3 linked regions of the Daphnia pulex genome follow. The protein of the gene in region 1 binds, or shares a complex with, the protein of each later gene. Links are inferred from orthologs where the notes say so. Each region holds a gene or a part of one and is shown in the gene's direction. Other genes may lie near its edges.

Region 1 (7,365 bases):
GGTGGGTTGTATCAAAATCCTGGATGGATATGGAGACACATTCTTTTCTAAAAGTCGCTAGAATGAATCAAAATGTTTCCTTATCATTATTCTCTTGACAATTTTAGTGGTGCTTGCCAGCCTTTATGTAAAAGAAAACAAACAAAAGGCACTTGTGTTAAAACCAACATCATATTTATGATGGCAAGTCGCTCGGAAATAGAATGTTTTATTTACGATAGTAAATGGTTTCCATTACCCGCAGCCCGAATACTCTACATGCATATACTACCTTAAAGTCGTCGGCTCAAAATCAGTGAATCGATAAAATTGCCTAAATAATCACAGACTCCCCGGAGAGTAACAACAGATAGTTCACCCACGAAAAACGTCACTCAAAGTAAATCAGCTTAATTTACTTTCACTAATGAAGAAGGAGCGGGTTTGAACGGAATAACAGAAGAATAAACGAAAAACGTATAACTTACACAGAAATCCTTGTCGGTTATTTGTAGTTTGCAATAGAGCAATAGCACAAAGGAAAGCCAAAAACAATGCGAACTTTTTTTTAATACATTCACTGGCTCCCAATCTCAAATGAACTGTACTTTGGCTGATTCCACGGTCGCGTCTGCGAGCTTTTACTACAGACAACATCGGTACTATCTTGTTACATGTATGCCGAGGGAAGCTGCGCAGAAGCGGCGCAGGAAGCACACGTTGAACTGTAATAAACCGTCGCCTTTCATATGATAGCTCGGCAGCCTAAGCCTCTTTTGTTATAAATTGTATTTAACGTAGCCAGGCTAGAGCTGTATAAGGTACAAGCCAGAAGGTCTTATTCATTGTAGCCCTTTTGCGCCATTGATCTTAGCTTCTCATTAAACACGGGAATCTAATGAACATCACGTCACATTCTCATTTCAACAAGATTTTTTTTTTTAAACTACTGCTGTCATTTGCATTTAAAAAAAGAAGAGCTAAGAAAATATAAATAACTATAAGCAAACAGAGCTCAACTTTTTTTTTAGAAAATTCTAATTTCTAATTCTCAAAAAACCAAACATCCAACTTTCTTTTCTCTCTTTTTTTCCTTGTTTTTTGTTGTTGTTGTCTGAGGTCAAGAACGACAGGTGAAATTCCGTTTGCTTGTGTGCCGACACACGTGGAAACTCCGATTGAACTATACAGAAGAAGACCTTGAACCACAATAATATCTAGATGACCATCTTTTGAAGGAAACTCTTCAAAGGGCACACTTCTCACTAGCCTATATACAATACACTTTAAGATTGGTTTCGGGTTTCCTTCTTAGTAAAAGAGCGCGTGGAAAAATTCAGATGGACATACCTGCTACCCCAAGATAAGAGCAGAGCAGGTTTTGTCGTGGAAATATACAATTTAATATAAGCCTGGATATATGATTAACTTTTAATCTGTTATAAAATCAGAGAACCTGTTCTCGCCTCGTCGAACTTTACTCCATAACCTTCCCCTCTCTTCTTTTCTTTGAGAAAGGTCAGTTTTAAAAAGATATTGGAAAATAAAATAGCCAGGGTCCACTATAAAAGAAGGCCATCCCGATGACGTTAGCGCTACTGTTCCTGGAACACTCGCTCAGTCGTCGTCACCCAGAAATAAGCGAAAATAATGGCTGACTTACCAATTTTTCTGTTCGTACTGATCATCGCTTCCGTACAGGCTGCCGTCGTCCGCGAAGAATCACCGTTATGGAACAATCACGCCATTCATCAATTGCCCGAATATCGGGCAGCCGCTACCGTTACCACCGTTGTCACCACCACAGCAACTGGTCCCACAACAATAACAATCAAGTAATTGTTTTTATTTCTTATTACTGAATGGCTAAATTAAAATTACCTGTTTAAAATTTGATTGATAATTTTTTTTTAGTAAGAGGTTTGACTGCGCGAAACTAGAAGCACCTTCCGCCACAACGGTGTGTCGCCGGAAGAGACAGTACTGGAATCTTCCATTATATGCCGACCATGTCTTCGTCAGCCAGGATGACATCCACCAACAGTACCAGCCGCTGAAACCCACTCAAGTCATCCAGTAAGCATAAATATCTTATCTTTCCTGATAAAAGGGCCATCAAATTATTAATTTTGTATTTGTCAATAATTGAAATAGGGTTCTGCCTTCCGCATTGCCCGATTACCGTAATGGAATGGCCATCCGCCCCTACCAGTCCAATCCGCAGTTCATTTCCCCATTCAGTATTCAGTCGTCGCTCGATAAACCGTCAGATCAGCCAGTTTACAGGGTAGCAGATCCGCTTTTCGGCGCTTTTTACGCCTTTTCTTCTCTTCTCTCCAACATTTTCAGTGGCATTTTCCGACCGCAACCGACTCCGGCCGTCCTCGTCACCAGGTACACGATATTCCTTAAGAAATTCATAATTCAAAATATCACCGTCAATCATAAAATGACATTGAACGATTATAGTACATCGACAGTGTACACAACGACGACAACCGCAACTTCCACAACTTCGACAGCTACTTACACTTTGAAAGGCGCAAATTGTCTTCCAGCCGGAGTTGTTGTTTGTCCAGGATCTAATACCGCTGCTGCGTCCAGTACTACTGCCGCTTCAACCACCGCCTCCTCCACCACTCCGGCCTCCACCACTACATCGGCGACTACAACCACAGGATCGACGCCAACTTCCACATCAGGTTAGTACTTAGTATGAATCCACATTCGTAATTCTAAGATCACTATACATTTTTTAAAATATTTACCAAAATAAGATTCAACTACTACGGCCAGCAGCACCACCGATTCAAGTACTGTAACCAGCACGACAGATTCAACTACTGTCACAAGCACTTCCGACTCAACTACTGTTACAAGCACCACAGATTCAACTACGACGTCATCGACCACGCCAAGCTCTGGTTAAATTCAGTGTTGATGATTATGAAGATCTCGATGATTTAATTTAACAATAAATAATTAGAAATCATTTTGATGCGGGGCATAACATTATTAAAATGGTAAAAGAAAAAGATAAGTATGTTAAAGTAGTATTTAAAGAACAAAACACATTTTTACCTCTTTCTCGACCAATTTCAATACGACCGTGCCCATCAAATTGAACCATACATAGTGTTCGCTTCTGAAAAAGTTAATAAGAAATAAACTCACAGCATTACCCAATTCGTTTTTGAAGATCTAAGAAATGGAATGGAAGACAAATTTAGCCGAAAAAATTATTAATTTTTGCCGACGTTTTCGCGCAACAGACAGTTGATTTGATGCGGCAACACTGCGCTCATAGCAGAAGCTCAATCAAAATGTCAAACAACCTAAAACTAAATCCCTAAAAAGGCAAAACAATAACATTAGAGCAAGAGTTGGGTGTTTGGTCTCCTTTCTCTATGAAAAAAGAAAAATACAGAATGCTTCAATGTTTTATACACATTATCTAAGTGCTACGCTATCCGAAAGTACGATATACTTACTTCATTGGTGCGCGTACAAATCGAAATCGAATTTGGGTTCTAGGTCAACAGAGTATTATGGCGTTTTATGACAACAAATATTGGATTCTTTCCCATGTAAGAAACTCATTCTTGTACTCAGATGATACTGGTGAGTTACTTTATTCTCTTTGGAACATTTGATTTTCTATAGTGCTGATTGCATTGTTTCTCTCCATTCAGGCATGTGCGAAATGATATTGCAGAACGCTGATATACCAAAGAAGATCAGAGAAGAGGGTAAAAAACAGTGGTTTGGAAATTTAGATGATTCAGAAGAAGAGTTTGATGATGATGGACGAATTCACACAAGATCTCTAGGAAATGGTAATGATGACTTTGGAACTCGGAGGAGAAGGCTTAACACAGTGGTGAGGCTTGAGAAGATGAGGAAAGAACAGCAAGCAGCCGCCATGATCAGTACCATTAGATGGAAAGAGCCAGATTTGACCAATCTAGATCAAGGTGAAAAGACCAAGATATTTCAAAAGAAGGAAGTGGTTGCTCAGAATTCCAAATCTGCCCTTTCTAAACTTATGGCTGAGCACGCCTCGGATCCCGATTCGCCATTCATTGAGTATGCAAAATTTGATGGGAATTCTCAATTGAGAGCACCCACAAGAACAATAAGGATATTTTTAAGCATGCAAAGTGCTGAAGACCGCAACTTTCCTATGACCGTTTGTGTTGTGGCTTCGGCAAAGGTTTCTGAACTTATCGGCCTTGTTTGTTACAAATACAGCCACGAAAAAAGAGAACCTCCTTTAACGTAAATATTAAAATTTTGCCCTTGAAAAATTAGATTAATTAAGTTCAGTATATATTTTACAATTAGTGGATCTGTGGATAATTACGCACTATTCATTGCCGAAGACGACGGAAGTCCAGATGCCGATTTCCCTTGCCTAGAACCTAAAGAAGTTGTTGGGAAGTTTGGATTCACCTCCCTGGCTTTGGTTCGCTCTGCCAATCCCCCAAAGGAGGCGAAGAAAGACGTCGAGACTAATAAAACAGTTGATCAACTCAACACTGAGAAACCAGAAGAGCGTGGGGCTGTTCTGGAATCTACCGACTACCATTCGTTCAAAGGATTTTTGCTACACAAAGTTCGGCCAAACACGGAAATAACTTTGGGTAAATAAATAAAATGTTATAAATTATCCATGTCAAATCCAATAATAACGTTTCGCACAGGAATTTCGTGGGACCAAGTGGAGATCAAGCCTTGCCCAACTAGTCGGTCTGTAACAACTTTACTGTGGTCAAGGCCCAATCTCAAACCAACCCGTTTACCTATTGAAGTGATCGTAGATTGTGTTCCTATGCAAACATTGCCAGCATCAGTTGCTATTATGTATTACGACACAGATAAAAGAAAATGGAGGCGTTTGCGAATTGAGTGTGACTCGAAGACCATCGAACAAGTTGTGGCGAAGTTAAAATTCATATTAGAAATCCGGGGAGGACTTTACCGCCAGGAGTACCTCCATCACATGTCATACGTCAACAAGAAAGCCAGCCTGATTCGTTAAAAGAAATTTTAATAATTCAATTGTTTGTTTAATAAACCTTAAAATGCGAAATGTCAATTTTTACAAAGTATAGCGGATTATGTAGCGGAAGAAAGGATTATTGTAGACGTCGTTATCCAGAAAGGAATGGGAGAAGGTCCTATGTCCATTGAAAAGTTGGAACTATCATGCTCTGAACTTCGTCTAGTTGACGCTCAACCGTTGATAAGGACCGATGTAGTTGTTGGGAATTTTTTTCCAGGTGTACGAGTCCTATGTAGTGGCGTGTTTGATATGAAACAATTTTCTTGTTGACTGCTGCAAAATCTGGTAAGCTCTTTAGAAACTTTACATCTTCAGATTTCAATCGGCCTGTTTCAATTTGCACTCTTCCCTTCAAGACATCTTTAAGCTTACTCTTTGCATCTAAATAGGCTTCTCTTCTCTTTTTGTATTCTTCATTCCACAGCAACTTCTCATTCTTCAGTTGTTTTGTGGCTGATCTTGTTCGTTTCTCAAATTTCTGATGAGCTTTATCTCCAGTAGAAACTAGAACTTTGTTTAGAATGTCTTCAATGTTATCCCGTAGCCTTTCTGAATAGGCAGCAACAGCATCTTGCTCTTTTTCTAAGGCATTAAACTTCATTTCCTTCAGGGTATGATTCAGACATAGTTCTGTTATTTTATGTTTCTTCCCAGAAGGAGGTAGGGATGAGTCTACCGCAGCACAAGCAGCTGTAAAAACTTCATAGTGAACAAATTGACAAACAATATCCACAACATTTCATTACCTCGAAAAGTTGAACCAGAACCACCACCAGTAATACTTCTGTTAAGACTTGGTCTCCTCTTTATGAAGTCATCAATGTTGTTTCTTTCTCTTGGAAATTTCTCCGGAATGTGGTCTTTATTTGGCTCATTTAACATCTTTTTCCTCACAGTTTTCTGTAGTTGTCTCAATTAAACTTTGTTATTATTCCCTAATTTTGATTGTTAAAAAGTTAGAGCTAAATTAGCACCAACGCTAACAACTTCAACGGTTTCCAATTTGAAGTGCATCGTTCGAAACGCCACCTTGCGACAGATGACCTTACTGCATGTTATATTTTCCACACGCGCAGGAAAATGTCTAAAATCACAAAAAAAGTGACATGAACGTGTATTTTATTTACACATTTATCGATGTTTTTATATTTAGACGACTCTCTTTCATAGATAAAGTTTAATTAATTCATCACTGACGGCTGATGGAGTGAGAATTCCCAAATCTGTGAAAAGCAAAGTCAAATATCCTGGTGGCGTGTAATCAACTTGAGGATGCTGATCGAGAAGATTAGAATGATTGGATTCAATAATAGTTGACGAGAACTAAAAAAATTCAACACAAGTTTCAGCATTATGGAAAATTGGTTAAAAAATTTAACATACTTTCAGTTCTTGGGGTAAATCGCGTTGGTTCAGCGGGTAGAGACGGACAAATTTGAAGCTCTCAGCGAGAACGTAAAAGGGTTTGTGCATTTCCTTGGCACACAGCGCCATAGTATATGTTCCAATCTATTTCAATAAATTTTTCAATTTTTTTAAATAGTCAAATAAATATATTTTATCCGTACCTTATTGATAATGCCTCCGCTTTCAACAACACCTTCAGCTCCAACAAGCACTAAATCCACTGATTCCATGACATAACCCATGGCCGAATCCAAAATGAGAGTCGAACCAATACTGTGTTTCAATAGCTCGTCTCTCATAGCGACACCACTTAGATCCGGGTGAGATTCAGTGATGAAAACATGGAAACGTTTTTTGGATATAACAGCTGCTTCAACTAGTGTTTGTAGAACCACTCTTGATTTGGAGTGAGTGAGGATTTTGTGTCCATCAAGAATAAAAGGAGCCCCTAGTCTTGCAATTTTAGGTCTAGCCTCTTGTAATTTCCTTAGAAAAATTTCTCCTCGTTTCTTCATAATCTCCTTGCAATCTTTGAAATTCTAAAAAGAATGTTTTATTTTAAATCTATTAAAAATTTATGATTCATATTTATAGACAACATACTGATTGTTCAAGAGAAGTAAGTGTGATAAACCGTTGAAACAGTTCACAGCCTGATTGAACTGATGTAATTGAGCATTCAGCTTTCTTCATTTCTTCTGTTGCTTTTCTCAGTTCTTCCGACAATCCACGAAGAGTTTCACCTGTGAATATGATAGTCTTTAATGTTGATAATGATTATGCTTATAGATATTATTTTGTTTTTACTAACCATCACCAAAGTTTTCCAATATATTCATTAATGTGCGGATAGCTGCAACAGCTGCTGAAACATCCGGCTCTTCTTTCACAATTTTTTGGAAAAAATCCAATAC
Region 2 (7,259 bases), on another chromosome or scaffold:
TCTTAGATCACTCTGAGAGAGGTATAAATTAAAACTGAATTGATGAAAACGTTATTATTATGGTGCCACTTTATGCGTTTATTTTATCACAATCACAGTCGAATCATTCAAAGAAGACCCGTTTTATTAAGTTGTGGTTTCTGCTCATAGATGGCGCTGGTGGTTGTCCAGAATTTTTACAAACTGTCCAAGATTTTTGGCGGTTGTCCAACTTTAGGAAGACGTTTGGCCTATCTCAAGCACGCAAATATGACATAGCCACAAAAGTGTCCAGAATTAGTGACACTACCCTAAATATTTAATTTTTTTAAATCTATTTCGCGTGAAATAATTTCATAACATGGTCTTGTACGGTATATCCAATTATCCAGAGCCATTAACTATGTTTACCGGTCTCTTATGGCGGAATATTCTCTCGGAGACGGATATATATATATTTATTATAACATATGCAAAAATATTATGCGATGTATATCTCCCGCTACTAGCGGCGATAGTCTCAACTTAATACAAAAAATGGCGAAAGCTAAGCCATCGTCACGAAATTGTATAGTTCCCAATTGCATTAATAGATATTCAGGAAACGCCGAGAATAGAGAGAATTATACTTTATTTGGAGTGCCAAGCAATAGTTTCAATGCATGGCAAGACCTAATGCCAAACGTAAAATTACATAAAACATCGAAGCTGTGCTATCGCCATTTTGACGATTCTGACATTGTCAAAGGGTACAATATTCTAGGTGTGTTTCATCCTTTCATCCGGTGGAGATTAAAAGAAGGCTCAAATCCCAAGTATTATATTGGTAATATTATAAAATAATTGGGTAATTTTCTGTACAGAAGTTGGCGTTGAACACTCGTGTATAGTATATTGTATTTGTTATTTAAGAAAAATGTAGTCTGCTAGTCTCGGGGCGTCTCACCTGTGTCTGTCGGTGTCGGGAGTCCCGAAGTTTATTAGTTACATTGCCGTTCAACAACCTACTAGTGAATTGTTTTAAATTGTGTAACATTGTTTTGTTAACATGGGGAAAAAAGAACACAAACGGTGTTTTATTAGTGGTTGCTACGGGAAAAGGGATAAAGAAAATGCTCATGTCGGAGTTTTTGGTGTGCCAAAAGCTTCATTAAAAATTTGGCAAGACATAATTCCAAGGGGAGGCTTAACCACTTCTTCGAAGATTTGTAGTCGGCATTTTGACGACGACGATATAGAAAAAGGAAGAACAATTCAGGACAAATTTTACCCTTATTCTAGATGGATGCTAAAGCCTGGTGCTCTCCCAAAACATTTTTTAGGTCTGTTTTTTTACAGCAATATAGAGAAGAGTTTAGATACAGTTTTACACATTTAGATATAGTTAAACGTTTTAGGTTTTACTTGTGATTTCAATTTTGATTGTATTTTATTTTTTTGTTTATCAGGACATTCATCAACAAGACCAACAGTGGCCAGCTCAACATCACAGAAATCAAAAACCACCCTAAAAAATTCCTGTAGTTCTAAAACTTTGCCAATAGCAAAAGGTAACTTTGCATTGCTATTTGTTATCTGATTCTTTTTCAATTATCAAATACATTTTTCATTTTTCATTATGTAACTTCTCACAGATCCACCTTTATTGTTACCTAAACCTAAAGATGGAAGTGGTTTACCTATTCAAACTAAGACTGTTCCGGAATCAAGCATCAATTTTTCAGGCCCAAGCCATACTATTCCTCTTCCAGTTGATGGGCCTATAACTCACTACATCGTCGTTCATGATAATATTGCTGTACCAAATAAACCCACACTAACAGTAGACGGTGGGCTAAATGTAAATGGTACTCTGAGCAATTTGGTCACACCTACGGTGCAAAATGATCGTATGGATGTTAGTTCTTCTGCGTCTTGCAGTTTTGACCACAGCTACGTACTGGTACCTCCACGAACACCAACTTCTCTAGAAGAGAGTGCTGCTGCGTCATCGACATTGCGCAATTTCGAATCAGCTACATCTCAGGAAGCACAAGAAAATGCTGGCCCAAATGAATCGGATCACAATTACGTTATTCGTTCTTCTTCGACCCCTACTGTGAATGAGGAGGAAAGTTTCCATTTGGGTATGGCGGGTTACCACAACTTCATTAATGGTGTCGTTACTCCTACAGCTGAATGGACTTGGTCCTTCAACGAACGAAACAACAATTTAGTTTGTTCTTGTCATATTTTTTCCCATGACGGTGTGATGACTATAAAATCTGTTAAAATTGTCACCATGACCAAAGTTGCGTTGTATCTGAATGGAAAACCCATCACGCCTCCAGATATGCAATTTGAGTTTCGAAGTAAAGCTGATTTAGCAAATATTCTTGAAGATTTCAATTACAGAAGAACATGTCAAGGAATTGTGGATGATTCGCTAGCAGATACCGAAGTGACGGGTAAATGTGCTGGTATCAAGGAAGGCAATTTGTGGCGCTCAAAAATGTGCATGGGAATTGCAAACCCTCCTGCTTCCGCTCTCTGTTCAAAATGCCGCGTTTTTAAAAATTATTTGAAGAGAAGTACAAATAATCAGAAGACCAAGAAATTGAAAAATTCGAAAGAAGATTATAAATCGAGGTTGCGTTCCACCAAGCAAAGGTTGACACGATCAAATTCTAAAATTGAGGTAAATTATTGTTGGATTTTTTCTCGGAATAATCCTTTAATAGTTCTTTCTGAATTTCAGGCTCTTTCAGGTACCATAGAAGGTTTGCGCAATGAAAGGAAGAAGCTTTACTGGAATAGCTTTGATGTGAAATTAAAGCTTTTAAAGCCCAAAGTAATGATTAATTGATATGTCAAATTTCTCTTTTCAGCTAATTTACAAGAATTACTCACTTTTAGGAACAGCTAGTTGTTAAAACAATGATGGCCAAAGCAACAGTGAATCCTGGAAGAAACGATCGATTCAGCGCAATGCGTTACGATCCCGAATTTCTCAAAGAATGTTTACGAATCAGAAACAAAAGTTCTTCGGCGTACAAGCATTTAAGATCCGAAGGCATTCTTCCCCTACCGAGTCAGAATACACTCTTAAGAATCATGAAAAAAACAGATCTCGGTGATTCTAATAAATCAACGCAACCGGATCCACAAAACGTCTCCGCCGAATCAAATTTCATGGAACAAACAAATGTGGAAAATGAATGTCCTGCCTTACCCCACTTCACTGAGTCCGTATCGCCTACACCTGAAATAATGTTGCTACATTCAGAAGAAATACCTGTGTCTGTACAAGAAGAAATGATTGTTGAAATCTTGTCGGTTCAATAAAATGTGATTTAAAACTTAAAAATTTCTCTTCTTTTTTTTTAATTTCATACCTTTCGTAATTTGGCAATGCGGCCTTGGGCTCGTAGTTTGAGTTTCTGATCGTCGTCTGCTAGTAGAGTGATTTCAGAAGAAAAACAATAAGGAAATTTATTTTGTTGGTTTGACTTAAACGTCAAACAATATAATAAAACCTTATGGGTAATAATAATGGAGATCAAGTTATATTAGCTACAGGAGGTTATGATCACTCAATTAAATTCTGGCAAGCCCACTCGGGAGTGTGTACCCGGACGGTAACACATCCCGAATCGCAAGTGAATGCTCTCGATATCACCCCCGACAGCCAGCTATTGGCAGCTGCAGGATACCAACATATTCGCATGTATGAAATCAACTCTTCTAACCCCAATCCCATAGTCAATTATGAAGGTATTTCACGAAATGTGACTGCTGTTGGATTTCACGAAGATGGACACTGGATGTACACTGGAGGAGAAGACTGTTCTGCAAGAGTTTGGGATCTTAGGTATCATGTTTCCTCGTATTATTGGAAAAAACATAGTTTGATTGAGTTCTCATTTGTGTCATTCTAGGACAAGAAATTTGCAATGTTCCAGAATATTTCAAGTCACTGCCCCTGTAAATTGTGTTTGTTTGCATCCTAATCAAGGTGAACTATTGGTAGGAGACCAAAGTGGTGTCATCCACATCTGGTGAGATTTTACGTACCTTTCTTATTCTGTTGGGAATGATTGTAACACATGGATTGCTTATATAGGGACCTGAGAACAGATCACAATGAACAACTGGTTAGTATTGATACCTCAAGTATTTCCATTTCCATAATAATATCAATCAAATACTTACAGATTCCAGAACAAGATGCCTCCATTCAAGACATTTCCATTGATTCTTCTGCAAACTTCATGGCAGCCATTAATAACAAGGTGCCCATTATTGATGTTTATTCTTAGTTTCCCAACCAAGTCTTGAGATGTTTTTTTTCCTTTTCTCTCTCTACACAAATAAAGGGAAACTGTTATGTTTGGAGCCTCATCCCTGGGACTAAACTGCCGGACGGCGAAGAAGGTTCGACACCAACACAGTTGCGACCGAAAAGCCGTTTGTTAGCTCACAAACGTTACGGTCTCAAATGCAAATTCAGCCCTGACGCAAAGTATACGTTCGCCTCGTTTTCTTTGAATTTCTTTTTCAATCTTACAATTGATCTCGCAGGTACTTGGCCACGACGTCAGCCGATCAAACGGCCAAGTTATGGAAGACTTCCGATTTTTCCCTTCATTCCACACTGCAAACTGAAAATCAGCGCTGGGTGTGGGACATTGCCTTCTCTGCCGATTCACAATACGCAATAACAGGTACTTGACTCTTCTATTCTTCATCCTGGTTTTGTCTGCCTGTCTTGATGAAACATTTCGTTTATCCAGCTTCGTCCGACAACACAGCAAGGCTGTGGAGTATAGAAACGAGCGAGATAGCTAAAGAATACATTGGTCATTCAAAAGCTCTTACCTCATTGGCATTTCAAGACGGGACACCGTAAATTGAACATTTTACCATAATTTTCCCTTTTTTTTGGTTTTTTTTTTTCTTCTATTTTTCTCAAATGTATAAAATGTTTTTCATTGGCTTTGATACACTTAGGAACGCCTGAATTTTTAATGGTACCGTCCCACCTCACTTGTAGAGGTTGATTCATTTGGTAGAGCGGGAATCAACTCACCTATCTTGTGTCGTATTGGCTTTGGCCCCCTCAATCTCAAGACAAACGTCAACGTCAAATTGGATTAACATTCAATCAGTCGGGCGTAATGGGTTTGGGATGGCGTGACGAATTTCAGCCGAATGGAAGCAACCAAGCGCCCTATCCTCCTCTATTCATGTCAAGTCATCCATTTCTACAGTCCAGCAGAAAGGAGAAGGGAATAGTCTCGCGTACAACGAACGTGGGGCTCATCTATCAGTATTAATCTCCTTAGTTGGACACTAGCCTCGATTCTTGATGAGATTACCGAATTCAGGGCACCGAGGATGGACTTGATCGCTCCCGTGCCGGCCATTGTTTTTTCCAAACATCTTTCTTCCGCTCCTTTTTTTATCAGTTGGTTTTCCATCACTTGAATGTCCCATCACTTAAACCACCAATGCGGTGGACCGGGTTGGTCGTCGCATTAATCTCATGTCGACCTCTGATGTTTGATTCCGTAAAAAGTGCCAAGACTCCACATGCGTGCTGGCATCTAGCGACCAATAATAGCAGCTAACAGATTTGATTTCAGGATCCTATCGATCGGCGGCCGGGTTGCTGGCTCTTCTCTTCCGAGGCGGTGGTTGGGGAGAGCACACACAGCTTCCTCAAAAGAAACAAGACGTTATTTACTTTTGTTGGCTACGCTTACGTGAGACCCAGTGGAGTTTTAACTGCTGATCCAGGCCGGCTGAGAAGTAGAACCGAGAAAGAAATCCTGAATTATTGTCCGTCATAACAGAGGGATTGCTTTAGTTGCAGTGTCGAGACCAACTGCTGATGACGATGCACGTCGCCGGATTGATCCTTGCACGGGGAGGCAGCAAAGGAATCCCGCTCAAGAACTTGGCCTTACTCAAAGGCACGCCGCTTCTTCTCTGGGCGCTCAGGACCATGTCACAATGCAAAGGTAAATTACTACTGTCGCTACTATGTAATTCGATTTTAGTTTGTATGGCCGCAACCCCACAATTTTCTCTTCCAATGTTGAGGGTAACATTCTCCTTCCCGGCCGACATACGTGCAAGAATGAGATAGGTGTTTCTTTCTCCTTCTCGCAGCGCTTCAATTGAATTTGGATTGGCATTTTTTCATTGGATATTTGAGTAGGAAGGTTTTTTCATCATGTGTGTGTGTGTGTACAAGGAAAGCGAGATAGACGTCTAGCTGTATGCTCATTTGTGCGTGTCTAAAAGGGATGCCGAATGCAGTCATTCAGAAGGAGACGATCCGAATTCTGCGCCAACTGAGGCTGTTGGTGGTAGTCAGACTGGAATATAGGAGCGTTTTTCGTCTTCGTCGTCGTGGGGGGGAGAGAAAAGGCAACGGAGCGTGCTTGGCTCCAATACTACGCCCTGCCGCTCCTGTATAATAATAATATAGCTCCTAACCTTTTCTTTTCTTCTTCCTTTTTACAATAAATATATATATATGATTGGATGGTGGTGGTAGTAGTAGTTTTGTGTGCGTTACCAGGAGGATTGGAACGCCAGCGCAATTTTTTTTTTCTCTCTTCTCACCCGGCGCATTGCACGCAGCGCCTTCAATATGTGTGTAGATCCCAAAAGAATTTAGAAACTTTTTCCTCGCTGGTCCCTTGTGAGTCGAGTGATGAACGCCCCCAAGTTGTGATGTAAGGCGCGTTGCCAATGGATCGATTCAACTTGCAGACTCGGAGATTTGAATGTTCTGCCCAGCAGGTTTGACTTCCATTTGGGTGTCGTCCGACCACCCAGACATTCTTCAATTGGCCCTTGAAAACGGAGCCCAGGTCCATCGCCGGTCAGCCGAGACGTCGTCAGATGGAGCCACTTCACTGGAGGCCATCAACGAGTTCTTGGCCAGTCATCCGGGTATGATATTTACTGTAATAATAACGATGGGTACATCAGTGGTCTCGTCCAACAAAAAAGGCGTGCACAGTGTAACGATCGTCGTCGTCGTCGTCGTTGTCGTTCATCATCAACCTCGCAACAATGATTTGCTGTGCCGCTGATGCTCTTCTTTTCTCTCTCTCCCCCGGCCTTTTTTTTTCGGTGCCCACATACACACAGAAGTCGACGTGGTGGCATTGATTCAGTGCACGTCGCCTTTCGTCCGCGTTGCGCATTTGAACGAAGCCATCGCTAAAATGACGGCCGGATGCTGTGACTCGGTCTTCTCCGTCACGCGCTCTCACTCGCTGCGC
Region 3 (8,016 bases), on another chromosome or scaffold:
GGAGATAAGATATTTTACTTCAAAGAAATGATAATCGTCTCACATAATCGGAAAGTGCTGGTATGCCACTAGGGAATCGAATGGGATCGGCTTTCAATCTGCCATCAGAATCTCTTACTTTATCCAACCAGCAGTCGTCCAAGCTAATTAAATTGTAACCAGCTTTGGCATAGCCTTCTGAGACCAGAAGATCAGCCATCTCCATAAATAATCGTTCACTACAGAGTAAAGATTGTTTAAGAAAAAATTCCTGGAATGAAACATTTTACTTTATTAAAAAGGAAATTGTTTGGAACCTGATGCAGTGCTTTGGATCATTGACACAGTCGGTGTTGCATCTAAATCTCTGCCACGCCAGCCACCCCATTGGTGGAGACAATGCCAAACCATTATCAAGGCAGTGTGAAAATGACGAGAAACTTAATATCACCAAGCATATTTGAAAAAATATCTCCATTGGATTGTTTTGAACGTTTTCAAAGCGGATATTCGACACTGGTCTAAGCTTCTCGTCAATATATGTTTCACAACCTATAAGAGAAACGGCATACAATCAGAGATCTGCGAGAATACTAGATTCTGTTCTAGATTAAATAAATAATAACTGCAAGAAACGACAGCTGTCGTAACAAAAACCTCAATTCTCAGTGACGGCGGTATTGTTACTCAAGAGCCCGTATTATTTTGATATGACACTTGACACTTGCTTTTGTTTTGATTTTTATATTGAATTGTTCTCAGCAGATGGCTTTTCTTCGCCACCTAGCGACTGAAAAAGGTAGTTTTTACATTCTTGTTTTGTCACTTAATCAGCGAATGGTGAATCGGTGATGTTGTTCGAGTCTGACTATTCGAGTTATTTGCCACGTAACTTCCGAGTTTCGTCACACTTGTGAGGCTATTTTATTATAAGAATCCAACGTAAAGCACCGAAAATTGCGCATAGGAAAAAAAACAACGAGTGGGGATACTCTGCCATGGGTATAAAATTCAATCTATTTTGCCGTGTAACCATCTTGGTTTAGAATTTCTTCTCCTGCTGCTAGCCTTTCTCTGAAATCTAGTGTTCTACTTTTGAGTGAAATGTTATTTTTATTTAGGTCCCGCTCAAGATGACGTGGTGGAAGAGCAAAATGAGCGTCTTGCCCAGGAACTAGCCGGAAAAGTATCAAGATTAAAAAGTGTAAGTTGCTGCCACTGCTTTATTCTTCCAAAATTGTTAATTGTGTCTAACTTCTTATTTTTTTTAGCTGGCATTTGAAATTGAACATGAAACAAAGGATCAAAATAGCTTTTTAAATGGAATGGTTGATGATTTTGACAGCTCACACAGTCTTTTGGGGAAAAGCATGGGAAGAGTCAAGAACATTTTAAACATGGGAAGCGGTAACAGGAAAACTATGTGCTATGTTGGGTTTCTCATATTTGCCTTTTTCATTCTTGTTTACTACACATCATCTTTATTTAGCAGAAATTAAAATACACTTGTACATTCCACATTATAAATAGTAATGTTAAAAACTTAAACTTAGTTAAGAAAATACCACTACTTAACAACAAATTGGATTATTAACGATTGGATTTGTATAAATTAATAACGAGTGCGAATGCAGAAATTTTGAGGGGTAACCAAAAAGTGGATTTCGAAGTTTTCTCTAATTTTTTTTTATTTCAAAAATAAATTCCAACATCGTCGTATAATATAATTTTTTTTTTAAATTAAACTGCGCACTGCTGGATATTTCATCTAATAAAAAAATCTGCGATTATTGCCGAATAACAGTTATTTTTACGTGTGAAATGTAAAATACGAAATAATTGAGAAAACGGTATGGCAAGTAGGAGGTGTGTTGTTGTTTATTCGTTTTGACATAACGTTTACGATGCGTTCTGCTGTCGGCAGCATCAGTTTACTCGGCAAAATATTTACTTATAGGAATTCTCAAATCTACAGGAAAAGTCAAACATTTCCATTGATACGATCAACACATTCGTTTAAAATGCATCCCCATAGTTATCTCAACCAATCCGATGCAATTGCACTTGATGTGGAGCTTTTCAACTATTTTGGAGTCGAACAGTTAATGGAACTGGCAGGATTAAGGTGTAAAGCTTGATAAGCCTTAAAATAATAATTTCTGTAGATTGTATTTAGTTGTTTATTTTCTTTCATCAGTTGTGCATCAGCAATTGCAGAAGGATTTCCAGAATCCAAAAATGTATTGATTGTTGTAGGTCCAGGGAATAATGGAGGAGATGGACTTGTTTGTGCAAGACATTTGAAAATGTTTGGGTATTATAATCTGAGGTACTTGCAGCAGCAGTTTTTTTTACATGTCTCTTATTTCTTTTATAGCTACTGTCCTGAAATCTTCTATCCCAAGCGTACAGCCAAGACTCTCTATGAAAATCTTACAAAGCAGTGTGAACTGTTTGAAATCCCATTTTTAACAGCATGCCCAACTACTGAAGACTTGAATTCAAAATACTCACTTGTTGTCGATGCACTATTTGGCTTTAGCTTCAAAGCTCCTGTCCGAAAGGAATTCACTGAGATTATTGACAATATGCTACACATGTCTACACCCTGCTGCAGTATTGATATTCCCAGTGGTACAGGAATTCATTTGTTCTTATTGTGCTAGCATTTTTCATACATACAAGTGTGCTATTAAATATTGTCTGGTACTTGCAGGCTGGGATGTTGAAAATGGGCCACTTGATCAAGATAATTCCTTAAAGCCAGCCATGCTTATTTCTTTGTCTGCGCCGAAATTGTACAGTATTTACTTCACGTTCATATTATCTCTGGTTCAAAAATAATTAAAGTCGATTATGGCAGGTGCGCAAGATTTTTCCACGGGATCCATTTTTTAGGGGGTCGTTTTATTGCACCTGCATTGGCTACGAAATACAAACTAAAATTACCAAATTATCCTTCAACGCATAATTGCGTAAGATTATAATATGTTTATCAGCAGGGCCCAGCAGAGCCGTAATAAATACACGATTTCAAAAGCAATGTCTTCATATTAATTATTTTATACTAATTAGTATTAAATTATTTTTAATAAAATCTTGTTTGAAAAGATTTTTGGTAAAAAGTTGTCAGCTGTCTGATGGCATAATCTTTGCTACGCGTTTCACAGAAGAATATATTACCGTCAGCAACCTGATTATTCACTAGCTAATACCGGTTCTTCAGGTGTAAAGGTGTAAAAGTAATAATAATTGAACTATCCATCAATGCGCAAGTATCTTACAAGCTTTTTTTAATATTTACAAAAAAAAAATACTTTAAAATCATATTCATGGATCGCGTTTTCAGAAGAAAAATATATATGTTAATTTTTTGTGAAAGAAATTTTTCTCTAATAATGGACTTTTATAAAAAAATTATCAATTAAAAAGTTTATGTTGTGAATGGAACTTTCAAATACGCTATATTCATTCTCTTGTGATACATAACATAGCCCTTATTAGTAATCTAGATTGCTTCATAGAACGGGAGAACACGTTTCGCATTCAAAAAAGTTCAATCGCGCGCGTTTATTCTCTCAGTTGTTTGTCAACCTTCGAAAATGGAGGTGCCTCGACGATTGGGGCGAACTGTCAAACGTAAATTTTTATTTATTTTTTTTGTTTTACTATAGGAAATTAATTTTCCTACAGTATTTCTGTTTTGTGTGCAAGCTTTCTACATTGTTTGATATTTAATCTTGAATCCTGTTTCTTCATCTAGTAAATGCTACTTCAGATGTGCTAGTTTCTTCAGCAATTGTGAATGGTAACCCTCAAACTGGTAAACTACAAATTTATAGACAAATACTTTATTATGTTTTATTGGTGACTGACTTCCTTGTACTATAAATGTCAAGACCTGACTCCCAGCATTAAGGATGCTTTGCTGCAAATGTGCTGCAAAGATGTTGTTACCCTTGGCAAACCTCAACACATAGGATCGGTTTTAAATGTAATCTCAAAGCATATTGAGAAGAAAGGCTGTGACAGCATTGGACTGGACATTTTGGATTTTTTTATATGGTCTCAAAAGAAGAGTTATATACTTTGTTGTGTATCAGTATTGAAAGATCCTTTTTTTTCCAGTCTACGAATTGCTTTGATCAACGACAGCAAAGCCGTAAGAGCTGCTGGTCTAAGGATAATTAGACTGTGCTTAAAAAATGAAGAATATGCACAAAAATTGGTTCAAGCAGATCTTCATTACTTCATTGCAAAGTATTATAAAGAATGAAATATAGAGGAACAAGCATATTAAGCTATATCTTTTGGTTCTCTAATAGGTGTCTGGATGTGCTCGTGGATAACATGGCAGAACGTGCTCAAGCCTTGAGATTATGTAGGAGATTGATGCTGGTTGATCCACCATCATTCCCTGTTGCTCTGGCGCGTTCAATTGTAGCTCTTGCTTTTGATGGCACCAAAGAAAAGGACCGTTTAGTACGAGCATCTTTGGCTATTCTAGCTGAACTTTGTAAGGTTTATTTCTATTAAAAGCCAAATCAAGACATCAATCCATTGAATTCAATCCATTTATAGGTATCGTAAACCCATCCGTGTTCGTTGCCAGCGGAGGTGTTCGATGTTTCTCATCTGCTGTTTTAGATTGCTCCTCTGCTCGTATGCAAGAAGCTATGATGGCATCCCTACTCTACCTATTCGACACAGAGCCGCGACGTGAGCTTTCGAAATTAAACCTGCGATTTCTGATTGCTCCCTATAGTGATTTCCACTATAGACACTACATAGATGCAGGAGAAGGAAACAATTCATCTACTACGACAGATGATCGTGAGCTTCGTCTACTCTGCGCTAAGCAAGCACTGCTTACAGTTCTTAGGTCTTGGAATGGAGTATTACATGTTATGAGCTGCAAAATTCTTGAAGACCTAGTCAAAGTCTTGCTCCCATGTCACTTGGAAACCAGGGCAAGTTCTTTCATCTTGATTGGATAGCTTGGTGGTTTATAATTAAATGACAATTACATTTTCATATAGAAATCAATGTTGGAATTCTTCTATACACTTCTGCGGTTACCACTGCCGGAATGGACGGACGAATTTTCCGTAGCGCTTCTAGCTACTGATCCGTCCCGTGTACAGGACGCCTGGAAGCTGCAGGAAGGCTATGTAGCTGCAGAAGGCAAATGTCTACTACCGCACATTTCCAAATTCAGACCAAATCTTGTATTAAACCATATGGCCTTGTTGGTTTACTGCTTGGTTGAAGCCAGATTAGTCCAGACACTTGTGGAAGTAATTACGACAAGTGACACTTTTATATCGGTCCGAGCAACAATTTTGCTGGGTACACTCTCGCATAATATAATAAATATTAACTATTATTATTAAATTATGAATCTGTTCCTTTTTAGGAGAGTTATTGCATTTAAGTAGTACTTTGCTGCCACCCTCCTGTCACGGGACAAAAATGTGTCTGCCTCAATTAGTTGACTGCATTACGTCACTTAAAAGCGACCCAGTGAAACGCCACCGAGCCGCCCAAGCAGCAGCAGCCCTCTCCAAAATTCACCAACTTAAGAAAAAAGGAATCGTTCCCTACAGTTTAGCTCTTAAACAAATCGTTGAATTAGAAAGAAGAGCATCGTGCAACAAACACTCCTCCGTGAGATACAAGAAAACTGAGGAGAATGCAACCAACATCCATCGAGACGAGACGGAGTTTCAGACCAATGGAGAAATGGAATCAGAGGTATGAATTTGTGTTCGCCCATTATAAAATAAATCAGATTTTAAAAATTTGGAATTTGTAGATGAGATCCAGCAGAGATTCTGATAGCGTTCTTTCAGCACTTTCTCGAGACTGTGGAGTCCTGGCGCAAAAAGATTCATTGATTTGGAACTGGTCCGTTTTATCCAATCTTTTCTTGGTAAAGATTATCTCATAGAAATCCATCTTTTCTTAAATAATCGAATTTTGTATAAACTTGTTATTGATTTATTATTAGTGGAGTAAGATGAATTCTTGCGCGTTGGAAGATTCGAATTTGAGATCGATTTTCCGTCGGGTAATGCAATTCTACAAGCCCACTAGCAATCAGTTTTGTCAATGCGAATTTAATAATAGCCGTATGCGTCTGTATTCGACCGTTGGTTGTTATCTGATGGATTCTCTTACAGTTATTGAAGAGGTAATCTTTTTCTTCTATTTGAATTTATGGTTTGTTATTAAATTTTTTGGTCGATTTTTATTTTTACAGTTGGAATGTGAAAAGATTTTGGCCGAATTTCTGGATGATGTTAGCAGTGCAATCCGTGATATTTCTCTGGCTTCTTCGGCTCATGACTGCCTACTAAGTCCTGGGCGACTTTCTACAACAGCTTGCCGGGATTACTTCCTTTTTATCGGTCGATTGAGCAGCACCGCTAATGGAATTATCGCTTTGGAGAAAGCTGGCATTTTTCAAGAGTACTACATCAAAATTCATGTTTCTTTCCCTCAATAGTGTTACTTACTTATTTTTTTATCAAACAACAGCCTTTTAGAACTGGTAGCTAGTACAAATCACGATTGCTACTTGAAGGTTATCGCTTCCACGCTCAATTTCCATACCGACGGGTATGCTAGGTAAACAAACAAAAGTTCCATTCATCATTTCTCAACTTTTAGGAATTTATATCGAATTATTATTGATGCAGGGCTATCTTGAAAAAGATTTTACTTGGAACCGTGGAATCCGGCAGAATTTATGCCACGCATCATATACGAGTGCTATTGCGAGCCGCAGAAGAGCATGGAACAACAAGCACGCTCGCAAAGTGGGTTATACCCTTACTGCTTAATCAACTTAATGATAAATGTCGAGCCGTAGTCATAGCTGCTGCCGATATTCTCGATGAAGCCACCGACGATCCAGTAGGAGAATCACTTGCAACTTCTTGTTCTGATGTTCATTAATGTATTTTTGAAATAGGCTTGCATTGAAGTGCTGATTCCGCTTCAGACGCAATTTGTTCAGTTAATTCAAGATCAGGAAAAACAACATTTAGATTCTCGCGCACGATTATTGCTAATTAAAACGCTGTCAATCATGTCCGGATTCAAACATTGGCAAGAAACCTTCGTTGAAACGGAAAACACAAAGATTTCCCTTGTTCAACAAGAATTGGATCAGTGGATTAGCCACCTAAACGTTCGGTAAAATCTGATCAAGCCTTACAATCACGTCTATTTTCTAACATTTTCTGTCTGCAGGTATGTGCAGTTGGTTGAAAGTGATTTAGCTGATGGATTGACTCAGCATCAACGAGCTGAAGATGGTATTTGTTTAATATAAGCGTGATATCGCCATCAATATTCTAAAACCACTATTTAGGTCGCTATGGTCGCCTGAGCAACGTCCGACATGCAATTCGAGATCTGCCTATGCCTCCCCATCTTTTCTCTCAGTTAAATCAACACCGAGAAGGACTAGACTTTCTGCGTACTTCAGGGCAGCTTTCTAAGCTCTTCACGGTAGTACCTCATCTTTCCACCGAGCTAACAAAGAAAATGTACCTTCAATTTAAGGGTTTCTCCTATACTGCAGGTGGTTACTAATGGATCCATTGAAACGGAAGAAGAAATATTGGAACTCAAAGCCGCTGTGTGGGCTTGTGCTCATTTAGGAACCTCAGAATCTGGGGTTGCGTTACTGGAGTCGGCTCAGGTGGTGGAAGCCTTGGTTCGTATTGCTTCGTTCTCAACTATCTTGACGCTGAGGGGCACGGCTTTTTTCGCTCTCAATCTGGTCGCTGTGACAACTGCCGGAGTGGATATTCTTGCTCGATTTGGTAAGATATATTTCGAGGAGTATTTACTAGAGATTAAGAGCTGGTTTATTTATCGAGTTGTCTCTTTCAGGCTGGGCTTCCATCAAACGACACCATGGCGAACTATGGCATGTGTTGGATGATTCCGAGTGGAATTCTCTTTATTTCCAGCATGTCAATGATCCATTCGTACTCAAAGACAGCATCCGGCTCAATGTAGAGC

The links. Proteins that work in one complex are often made in the same cells at the same time.
Region 2: the proteins of target of rapamycin complex 2 subunit MAPKAP1-like (region 1) and target of rapamycin complex subunit lst8-like are in contact, whole or in part, in a cryo-EM structure (PDB 7PE8), measured with the Homo sapiens proteins. The link is inferred for Daphnia pulex from reciprocal best matches to the Homo sapiens genes MAPKAP1 and MLST8. Residues at the interface, in NP_001006618.1 of Homo sapiens: Lys102, Cys103, Lys104, Asn105, Ile106, Gln107, Trp108, Lys109, Arg111, Asn112, Ser113, Lys121, Leu123, Phe124, Glu125, Lys126, Lys127, Ser128, Leu129, Gly137, Lys138, Gln139, Ser140, Ile141, Leu142, Val144, Arg145, Leu146; in NP_001186102.1 of Homo sapiens: Ala29, His30, Pro77, Ile78, Ile79, Ser80, Tyr81, Asp82, Gly83, Arg98, Arg110, Ile111, Trp112, Gln120, Cys121, Gln122, Arg123, Ile124, Asn139, Gln140, Ala141, Leu157, Lys158, Ile203, Glu206, Ser279, Gly280, Asp281, Gln283, Asp322.
Region 3: the proteins of target of rapamycin complex 2 subunit MAPKAP1-like (region 1) and rapamycin-insensitive companion of mTOR-like are in contact, whole or in part, in a cryo-EM structure (PDB 7PE7), measured with the Homo sapiens proteins. The link is inferred for Daphnia pulex from reciprocal best matches to the Homo sapiens genes MAPKAP1 and RICTOR. Residues at the interface, in NP_001006618.1 of Homo sapiens: Ala2, Phe3, Leu4, Asp5, Asn6, Pro7, Ile9, Ile10, Leu11, Ala12, His13, Ile14, Arg15, Gln16, Ser17, His18, Thr20, Ser21, Asp22, Asp23, Thr24, Met26, Cys27, Met29, Val30, Leu31, Ile32, Asp35, Val36, Ser84; in NP_689969.2 of Homo sapiens: Arg108, Gln137, Glu140, Thr144, Leu147, Arg148, Arg151, Lys152, Thr155, Arg182, Met183, Arg185, Ala186, Ala189, Cys192, Glu193, Leu196, Leu220, Arg222, Ile223, Glu225, Ala226, Leu227, Thr229, Thr230, His233, Asn236, Arg293, Trp295, Glu844.

Annotation. Positions count from the first base shown.
Region 1 is NC_060023.1:2,533,003-2,540,367, reverse strand, and holds target of rapamycin complex 2 subunit MAPKAP1-like, read left to right. Parts: upstream 1-3,291; 5' UTR 3,292-3,415; coding exon 3,416-3,455; intron 3,456-3,513; coding exon 3,514-3,600; intron 3,601-3,671; coding exon 3,672-4,257; intron 4,258-4,323; coding exon 4,324-4,622; intron 4,623-4,682; coding exon 4,683-5,020; 3' UTR 5,021-5,071; downstream 5,072-7,365. Other genes in the region: uncharacterized protein LOC124198557, read right to left, coding at 5,160-5,734, 5,791-5,926; translation initiation factor eIF-2B subunit alpha-like, read right to left, coding at 6,209-6,367, 6,428-6,553, 6,613-6,990, 7,055-7,194, 7,263-7,365. UniProt on the Homo sapiens protein: Component of the mechanistic target of rapamycin complex 2 (mTORC2), which transduces signals from growth factors to pathways involved in proliferation, cytoskeletal organization, lipogenesis and anabolic output.
Region 2 is NC_060019.1:9,054,220-9,061,478, reverse strand, and holds target of rapamycin complex subunit lst8-like, read left to right. Parts: upstream 1-3,385; 5' UTR 3,386-3,497; coding exon 3,498-3,829; intron 3,830-3,896; coding exon 3,897-4,016; intron 4,017-4,081; coding exon 4,082-4,112; intron 4,113-4,172; coding exon 4,173-4,250; intron 4,251-4,334; coding exon 4,335-4,480; intron 4,481-4,539; coding exon 4,540-4,682; intron 4,683-4,751; coding exon 4,752-4,867; 3' UTR 4,868-4,991; downstream 4,992-7,259. Other genes in the region: uncharacterized protein LOC124191397, read left to right, coding at 400-805, 1,428-1,529, 1,614-2,656, 2,717-2,809, 2,875-3,303; N-acylneuraminate cytidylyltransferase A-like, read left to right, coding at 5,852-5,981, 6,772-6,924, 7,126-7,259.
Region 3 is NC_060019.1:11,215,413-11,223,428, forward strand, and holds the start of rapamycin-insensitive companion of mTOR-like, read left to right. Parts: upstream 1-3,448; 5' UTR 3,449-3,581; coding exon 3,582-3,618; intron 3,619-3,742; coding exon 3,743-3,802; intron 3,803-3,878; coding exon 3,879-4,044; intron 4,045-4,107; coding exon 4,108-4,239; intron 4,240-4,304; coding exon 4,305-4,495; intron 4,496-4,560; coding exon 4,561-4,949; intron 4,950-5,018; coding exon 5,019-5,328; intron 5,329-5,395; coding exon 5,396-5,733; intron 5,734-5,794; coding exon 5,795-5,911; intron 5,912-5,989; coding exon 5,990-6,172; intron 6,173-6,241; coding exon 6,242-6,450; intron 6,451-6,519; coding exon 6,520-6,609; intron 6,610-6,680; coding exon 6,681-6,897; intron 6,898-6,955; coding exon 6,956-7,179; intron 7,180-7,236; coding exon 7,237-7,301; intron 7,302-7,357; coding exon 7,358-7,497; intron 7,498-7,570; coding exon 7,571-7,814; intron 7,815-7,884; coding exon 7,885-8,016. Other genes in the region: alpha-N-acetylgalactosaminidase-like, read right to left, coding at 44-218, 297-457; NAD(P)H-hydrate epimerase, read left to right, coding at 978-981, 1,101-1,183, 1,251-1,474, 1,808-2,104, 2,177-2,293, 2,357-2,613, 2,696-2,777, 2,843-2,966. UniProt on the Homo sapiens protein: Component of the mechanistic target of rapamycin complex 2 (mTORC2), which transduces signals from growth factors to pathways involved in proliferation, cytoskeletal organization, lipogenesis and anabolic output.